2 linked regions of the Oryctolagus cuniculus genome follow. The protein of the gene in region 1 purifies or fractionates together with the protein of each later gene. This does not show direct contact. Links are inferred from orthologs where the notes say so. Each region holds a gene or a part of one and is shown in the gene's direction. Other genes may lie near its edges. The genes, in order: GLS and SIRT5.

Evidence for each region.
Region 2: the proteins of GLS (region 1) and SIRT5 purify together in Homo sapiens (affinity purification with western blotting; 3 studies listed by BioGRID and IntAct, with this or other methods). This does not show direct contact. The link is inferred for Oryctolagus cuniculus from reciprocal best matches to the Homo sapiens genes GLS and SIRT5.

Annotation. Positions count from the first base shown.
Region 1 is NC_091434.1:49,345,997-49,349,766, reverse strand, and holds part of GLS (glutaminase kidney isoform, mitochondrial), read left to right. Parts: intron 1-1,109; coding exon 1,110-1,186; intron 1,187-1,283; coding exon 1,284-1,347; intron 1,348-3,770. UniProt on the Homo sapiens protein: Catalyzes the first reaction in the primary pathway for the renal catabolism of glutamine. Plays a role in maintaining acid-base homeostasis. Regulates the levels of the neurotransmitter glutamate, the main excitatory neurotransmitter in the brain.
Region 2 is NC_091436.1:157,060,482-157,064,770, reverse strand, and holds the start of SIRT5 (NAD-dependent protein deacylase sirtuin-5, mitochondrial), read left to right. Parts: upstream 1-1,240; 5' UTR 1,241-1,380; intron 1,381-1,394; exon of another isoform or gene 1,395-1,729; intron 1,730-1,933; exon of another isoform or gene 1,934-2,109; intron 2,110-4,289. UniProt on the Homo sapiens protein: NAD-dependent lysine demalonylase, desuccinylase and deglutarylase that specifically removes malonyl, succinyl and glutaryl groups on target proteins.

The DNA of each region.
Region 1 (3,770 bases):
TCCTCCTTTATAGTCCTCTTCCACCAATCCCAACTCTGCTACCCACACGCCAAGTACGCTGCTCTCCTCCAATCAGGAGCAGGTCCTGCAGCTTGTCAAGTTGGTGAGAGGCAGCTGTGCAGAAGCTGTTTACTCCTCTCCCAGCGCCATATTGTGGGAGAGCAGATGCATAGAATAAGTCTTAATTCCAGTAACTTAGTCTAGTCCGAGTTGCTCCCCACATAGGAGTGTTCAATGTCCTCTGGATCACCAGGATCGGAAAGGCTGTATACCACAGTAAGGTGTACCACAGTAAGCTGTATACCAGTCTAAGGTCTCTTGTACAGTAAGGCTGCAGCTGGCTTATTTTTCAGAGAGCAAGCAAGAGTGTGCATGTGTGCCGCCTTTTCCATCTGCTGCTTCACCCCCCACATGCCTGCAGCAGTTGAGCTGGGTCGGCCAAAGCTGGGAGCTAGGAACTTAACTGTCTCCCACAAGGGTGGCAGGTTCCCAAGTACCCGAATCTCATTTTCTGCCCCTCAGGGTGCACATGAGCCGGAAGCTGGCGTTGAAAGCAGAGCTGGGACTAACCCTAGCACCCTAATTTTGGATGTGGGCACCTCGAGTGGGATCTTAACCATTGCACAAACGCCTGCCCTATAGCTGATCAAACTTTCAAGTGAAAAAATGTCTATGGTTAATTTCTACCCTTCATAAAAAGCCTGAATCTTACGTGTAAACCATAGCCTATCAAATGTTAAAGAATGGGAGTCCTAGTGAACACACAGAAGTATACTACAGGTATTAATTTCTTGCCCTTCTGAGACATAAATTTTGGCATAGTTGTACCATTATTCTTGAGTTTTGAATAATAATATGAATGAAGTGTAGTTCGGTGAAAGATGGCTAACATTTCATCTTTCCCCCCAAAGTGCTTGGGTAAGGACAAGTCGGGAAATGGTATTTACCCAGGACACCTGTGTAGTGGTTGAACAGTTCTCTCATTACCACTAATGAGCCTGGTGAAGAATGACATCTGAGAGACTCTTAGCTTTAACCTATGGGGTAAATGTTGCAAGTGTGAATTAAATGTTATGTACTGATGAATAGCCATGCTTACAAATTTTCAGATTTGCTTTGTCAGCCATGGACATGGAACAGCGGGACTACGATTCTAGAACAGCACTCCACGTAGCTGCTGCAGAGGGTAATATGTGAACCACACATCCTATTTCTTTTTTTCAGGTTTAATTTCTACTCAATACTAAAATCTGCCCTTTTCTTCGGGGTGGGATGGGATATAGGTCACGTTGAAGTTGTTAAATTTTTGCTGGAAGCTTGCAAAGTAAACCCTTTCCCCAAGGACAGGTAAGAACTCACATTATCTTCTTAAATCATTGGCCAGTCAGTATGTCATTCTACAGAGCTGTGATATTGTTATGGTGTACTTAAATACTCTAAGACATTCGTGAACCTGTTATGAAGTCAACAAGCAAAACCTTGTTCTGCTGCATAGATTCTGTCTCCCATATCCTATTTCTTAGTAAGAATGTTATCTTATTTGGAAATTTTCAAGTTGGTTTGACTGGCCTTCATATTTTGTAAAAGAAAAGGGTTCTTTGTGTTTGAAAAAGTAAAATGGGAATTTTGTCCACACAGGGCTCTTAGGTACACAAGGTAGACGAGGTAAATATTTAGAAGAGCATATACAAAATATGTAAGGGAACTGCTGTTAGAGAATGCTAAAATGAATATATTGGAATTTGTTCAAATTCCTGTATTTGAGTAGAATGTTTGTAAAGGCTTTGTGGAAGCGGAATTGTAATCGGTGCTTTGGGAAAGACAGGAGATTGGAAGGCACAAAAGGAGAAATTTGATCTCAGGGTGGGGGTGGGTGTGAAGGAGTGTTGTCTGTTCCTTTCCCTCCTGGTGATACTGATACTGGCTCACCCTGTGACAAATGAGGTCTTCAGGGGGCCAAGGCACGGGGCAGACTGTAGCTGAAGTGTAGAGGTGTACAACGAACTCTGTACTCACGTATTTGGACAGTGTAAACTGGAGTGGACGAGTCACTGAATGAAATTAGAGCTTAGAAGAAAGGAAAAAAGTTTGCGTTTGCTTTTGGTATCTGAGACCTGGGAGCTGTACGAAGTTTGGAGCAAGTTGGTTCCTCTCTCTGAGTACTAAATAGCTTGAACTATTTTTGAATCAGGGCTTTCGTCTTTTGGTTCAGCAGGAAAGTTACGTGTCTGAGAGTTGCTGGCAATTTTTTAAGTGGTAACTTCTTGGTTATGTAGCTCTTTCTGTAGCTGTTTTAAAACTCTGTGATTAAAGTGGCTTTTTATTGCAGTATTCTAAAAAACCTCATGTCAGAGTCACAGTCCGGCCTCTTAGCCCCAAATGTAATGCCCAGCCCAGCTCTTTCTACAGCAAGAAACTGCAGAGCCCCTCCCACTGCCCTGCCCCAACCCTGTTTATAATCCCAGCTAAACACTGCGGGACACATGCTGGAAATGTTTACTGTGCTTTGTGTATCTGATTTTTTTTTTTTTTTTGGCCATAAATTAGCCTGTAGGCATGTGGAAGTAGATGCAGCTGACAGGCAGAGTTGCTTAAGGAACTAATTTGGTAACTAGATAGTCAACTATTCCAACACGGAAACTAAAGACCTAAGGTAATTTTTTGGAGGAGTATTTCATAGAATCTTAGTCACCTAGAAGTATAACATAGTAGCGCACATTTAGTGTATTCTTCTTCAAGTTGGCATTTTCATTATTTCATGGAAGACTTTTGAAAGAAGTAACTTGCACTCAGCATTCAATTTTTCCCCAAAGACAGATGATCACATGCTGTGGAGAAACTGTGGATTCCTTCAGCCCCCATGTCCCCAAACTAATGAATGCCCAAAAGGCCACTTAATTAGCTGGGGTGTTTTTGGAGTAACACATAGATATGTGTAACGTGTTACTTACCTGATTTGAAAAATTAAGAACAGGTTACCAAACTGTATCCAAAAATGCTAAAGATGCCTTTTTAAAACTGATTCGTTCCATTCGATGACCCCCTTAAAAGGGCAGAAGGTTCAGGAGATGCTAAGCAGGAAAGGGAGGGAGAGCAGCAGGGAGGCAGAGAGAGTGGGTGTGAGGCAGAGCTGCACGTACAGGGCGGGAGGGGAGGGGAGGGACGTGGGGAGAAGACCGGCCTCACGGGATCCGTCATCTGCTGGGCTCTGAGTTTTACAGGGATGGCTGCTGTTGCTAAGGGCTTTGCTGACTAATCGCTGCTGGCACTTCTTCAGTTCAAGTCTTCATCTCCAGCGCTCTACACAGCACGGCCCCAGCAGCACACTTAGGACGGGAAAGCACAGGAGTTCTCCCCCTGGCCACACAGTGGTCGCAGGAGCCCACTGTTCCCCGTCCTTACCAGAGAAAGCAAAGGGTCCCTTGTGGAGCCAATCCTGCTTCTCAGATGCCCTGTGGTTTCGAGTTGACAGAACACAAATTGTGTGTCTAAGGCTAGGCTGCTGGATATTATCCACCTGCATTTCCGTTGCTGCTCTGGGCTCTTCATGAAGTTACATTTGGGAACGCTAGGCGTCTCCCGGATGTGCCAGGACCAGGCCTTCCCTGGCACTGGGCCACACTAGCAAGCTCCTTTCCTTCTCCTCTCACGTCCCAGCGTGTCTCCAAGCCGCTTGTTGAATCAGATTCCTTCCCGCATTTGGACTATTACTTTTTACTTGTAGTAACTGCTAAGGTGGCTACATTCGAATGGACATTTGAACTGCTTTG
Region 2 (4,289 bases), on another chromosome or scaffold:
AAAGCCAGGAATTCATTCCCAGGTGAGTGGCAGGGATCCAACTACCGGAGCCACTACCTGCTGCCCCCCAGCCCCCCAAGGTTTTGCATTAACAGGCAGCTGGAACAGGGAGCAGAGCCAGGACTTGAACCCAGGAGCTTCCATACGGGACGTGGGCATCTTTAATCACCGCGCCAAACGCCTGCCTCTAAATTTAATTTTTAATCCCATTTTCCATGAACTTTTCCAAATATCCTCACAGGTGCCCCTTTGCTCATTTGCTGTTGTTGTTTTGGTCATGTGCTGTTGTAGACAGATTCACAACCAAAAAATGGGAGGGGTGGGGGGAGACAGGGGGCTTTGCCTTTAAATTCTGTTACGGGTAGCCAAGCCTCTGTCCTTCGAGTCTGGGCATGGAATGCGTATTTACTAATTGAACACAGCATTAGGGACCCTGATGTGCTTGGACGATCACAGGAAGACACACTCACACACACACACACACGGAGGCCACTTTCAGGGAACTTACCATCTTGCAAGGACAGAGATTTTAAAATTTTATTTATTTTAAAAGTTTTTTTTTTGTTTTGGCGAAGGTCATATACATTTCTGTCTCTTTCCGTTTTTAAAGATTTATTTATTCACTTGAGAGGCAGAGTTAGAGAGAGAGAGAGAGAGAGAGAGAGAGAGAGAGAGATCCTCTATCTGCTGGTTCACTCCCCAAATGGCTGCAACGGCCAGAGCTGGGCCAGTCCAGAGCCAGGAGCCAGGAACTCCATCCAGGTCTCCCCAGGGGGATGCAGGAGTCCAAGCACTGGGCCATCTTCCGCTTTCCCAGGTGCATTAGCAGGGAGCTGGATCAGAAGCAGAGCAGCCGGGACTCCAACCAGCTCCCGTTTGGGATGCCAGCGCCGGCAGGCGGCAGCTTAGCTCACCCCGCCACAACCCCAGCCCGGAAAAAAACATGTTTAAAGTGCCATTTTTTTGCCCCAAGATCGCTGACCACTGCCCCCTACCTCCGCAAACGCGGTGCTGCGGGAGAAAAGGACAGACGGCAGATGTGAGCGCATCCTAGCCGCCGCGGTGGGTAGCCTGGGCACCCACGCACCCCGCACGCGGGACGCTCACTCCTTCAGCGGTGCGAGCCGCCTGCTGCGGGCGTGCGGGGAACCTCGGAGCTCACGCGCGCCCCGCCCCGCAGATCCCCAAGGGAAGGAAGACAAAGCCACGCTCCGCCGCGGGCAGGCCTGGGGACCGCCCCCTTCTCGCCGGGAGCCCGGCGGGGTCGGGGCGGCCAGCAGGGGGCGCCGCAGCCGGGGCAGGGCGCCCCGCCGCTCCGCCCCGCGGCCTCCCGCTGCCAGCGCCGCGCCACACCTCGCCCGCCCTGCCCGCCTCCCGCAGGTGCGTCTCCGCCCGCGCTGCGCGGGGACCCCGCGGCCACGGGCGACCGCCCCGGCCCGGGGTGGGGTCCGGCCGAGCCAGCTGTCCCGCGGGACGCGACCTTGCGTCCTCGCGCCGCGGGCGGCTCGGCGGCGGTGGCGCGCGCCTGCGCCGCGCATGCGTGGCCCTGAGGCGGCTGCGTGGCCCCGGCCCGCCGCGGCGGCTGGGGGGCGTCGGGGGCGTGTGGTGTGGGGCTTCGGGGCGCGGGACGCGGCTGGGCTGGCGACGAGGGGACTGGGGGCCTCGCGCGGGGGGCGATGCGGGCGGCGGGCCCGAGAGTGGCCGAGTGCGCAGCGCGGTGGGGACCCAGGTGACTGCGTGAGGGAGCCTCGAAGGCCGCGGGGAGGGTCCCGGGCAGGGGCCGGGGTCTCAGGGCGGAGACGCGGGGCCGGAGCGGGTGGACGGAGGGGGCGCCTCCGTTTGAGGAAGGGCGCCGGGCCGCGGAGGAGCGCGCGTTGCGGCCCAGCCCGGCGGCGGCGGCGCCTGCGGAAGCGAGCGGTCAGCGCCGAGTCCTCGGGCCCGCGGCGCCGGGCGGCGGCTGGACGCGGCTGTCGGGGCCGCGATGGCCCGGGGCCGAGGTCGGGCGTGACCTCCTGGGGAAGGAAGTGGGGTTGAGCGCCGCGGAGGTGACCTTGGCGAGAGCGGATTCTGCCAGTGTAGACGCCCGAGGACGTCTGTGTTCCGGCTTGGGTTCGTTCAGTCGGGGACACCCGTGGACGTGTTCGTAGCCCCTTTGCAATACGCTACCGAGTCGTTTTTTTTCTGTCTTCACTTAAATGTTTCAAAACAAATTTCGTTTCTAATTGTCTATATTTAGGGGCACAATGTGAGGTTTTGGTGTACGTGTACATTGGGATAGATCCATTCATCTAATTACAGCCTATTTTCTGTGATGAGAACATTTAAAATCCCTTTTAGCAATGTTGAAATGTATAATTTAAAAAAAAAATTATTTGAGAGGCAGAGTTACAGAGAGAGAGGTCTTCCATCTGTTGGTCCACTCCCCAAATGGCCGCAACAGCCAGAGCTGGGCCAGGAGCCAGGAGCTTCTTCGCTGTCTCCCATGTGGGTGAGGGGTCCCAAGCACTTGGGCCACCTTCCTCTGCTTTCCCAGGCGCATCAGCAGGGAGCTGGATCAGAAGTGGGGCAGCCAGGACTTGAACCAGCAGCCATATGGGTGCCAGTGTCCCAGGCAGCGGCGTAACCCGCAATATCACAACAGTGGCCCCAGAAGTGTATAGTTATTAAAAATTAACTGTAGTCATCACTCTGTGCAAAAGTTCACTAAGTCCTCCATCTCAAATTCTGCCCTTTGCCCAGCCTCTCCCCTTTCCCCCTCTCTCTCCAGCCTCAGCTAAATGTTTATTCTGCTTTTTATATTCTTCCTGTAAGTGAGGTCATGTAGTATTTGCCTTATTTGCCTTATTTCATGTAGGACCACGTCCTCCAGGTTCACCCATGTTGTCGCAAGTGGCAGAACTTCTCATTAAAGGCTGCATAGTTTTCCATTGTTTCCGTGTATAATATATGTTTTTTAAAATCCTTTCATCCTTTGATGGGTACTTAAGTTGTCCCCATATCTGGACTATTGTGAATAATGCTGAAATGAGTATAGACATCAAGTTCTGTTTGACATACTGATTTTTATTCCTCTGGATGTTTGCCCTGAAGTGAGGTTACTGGTAGTTCTATCTTTAGCTCCTGGGGTCGAATCAGCATAGCTCCAGCTGTTGTGACCATTTGGGGAGTGAACCAGTGGATGAAAGATCTCTCCCTCTTTCTCTCTCTCTCTCGTACTCTCTCTCGCTCTCTGCCTCTCTGTAACCCTGCCTTTCAAATAAATAAATCTTAAAACAAAACAAAACAAAACAAAACAAAAAAACAACCAGCTACTTGATCCATCACCTCCTGCTTCCCACAGTCCGCATTGGCAGTCTGCTGGGATTGGGAGCCAGAGCTGGGTATTGGACCCAGGTTCTCTGATACGGCATGTGGGCTTCTTAGCTGATGTCAATCACGAGGCCAAATGCCTGCCCCATTCTAGTTCTTCCAGGAACCTCTGCACTATTTTTCATGATGGCTGCACTAATTTCATGCCCACTAACTGCACCAACATTGCCTTTTCTCCATATCCTTGCTGACACCTTTCTGACGGTTCACTGTGGCTTCATTTGCCCTTTTTGATGATTAGAGATAGTGCACATTTTTCACGTATCTACTAACCAGTCGTGTGTCTTCTTTGGAGAAGTTCCCATTCAGCTTCTTTGCCCATTTTAAAAATTAGGCTGTTTTGTTGCTGTTGAATTGTTTGGGTCTGTTTTAGATACCTGTGCTAGCCCCTTATCAGCCATGTGACTTGCAGGTACTGTCTCTGCATCCATGTGTTTTTTTCTTCATTTTGTTAATGGTTCCCCTTGCTGCACAGAGCTTTTTAATTTGATGCGGTCCCATTTGTATGATTTTACTCTCGTTGCCTGCGCTTCTCAGGGACTAACCTGGGCCAGCGTTGTGGAGCTTTTCTCTTACGTTTCTTCTGGTTTTATAACTTCAGGTCTTATATTTAAGTGTCTTGTCCGTTTGGAGTTGATCTTTGTGTATGGTGGGAGATAAGGTTCTAATTTTGTTCTTCTGCGTGTGGGTGTCCAATTTCCCCAGCATCAGTTACTAAAAAGACTGTCTTTTCCCTATTTTGTGTTCTGGTCACCTTTGTCAAAAATGCACTCAATGTAAATGTGTTCATTTATATCTGGGCTTTCTGTCCTGTTCCATTGATTGATATGTCTGTTTTTATGCCAGTACCATGTCTTAATTGTTATAGCTTTATATAGTATTTTTTGCAGTCAAGGAGTGTAATGAGTCCAGGTTTGTTC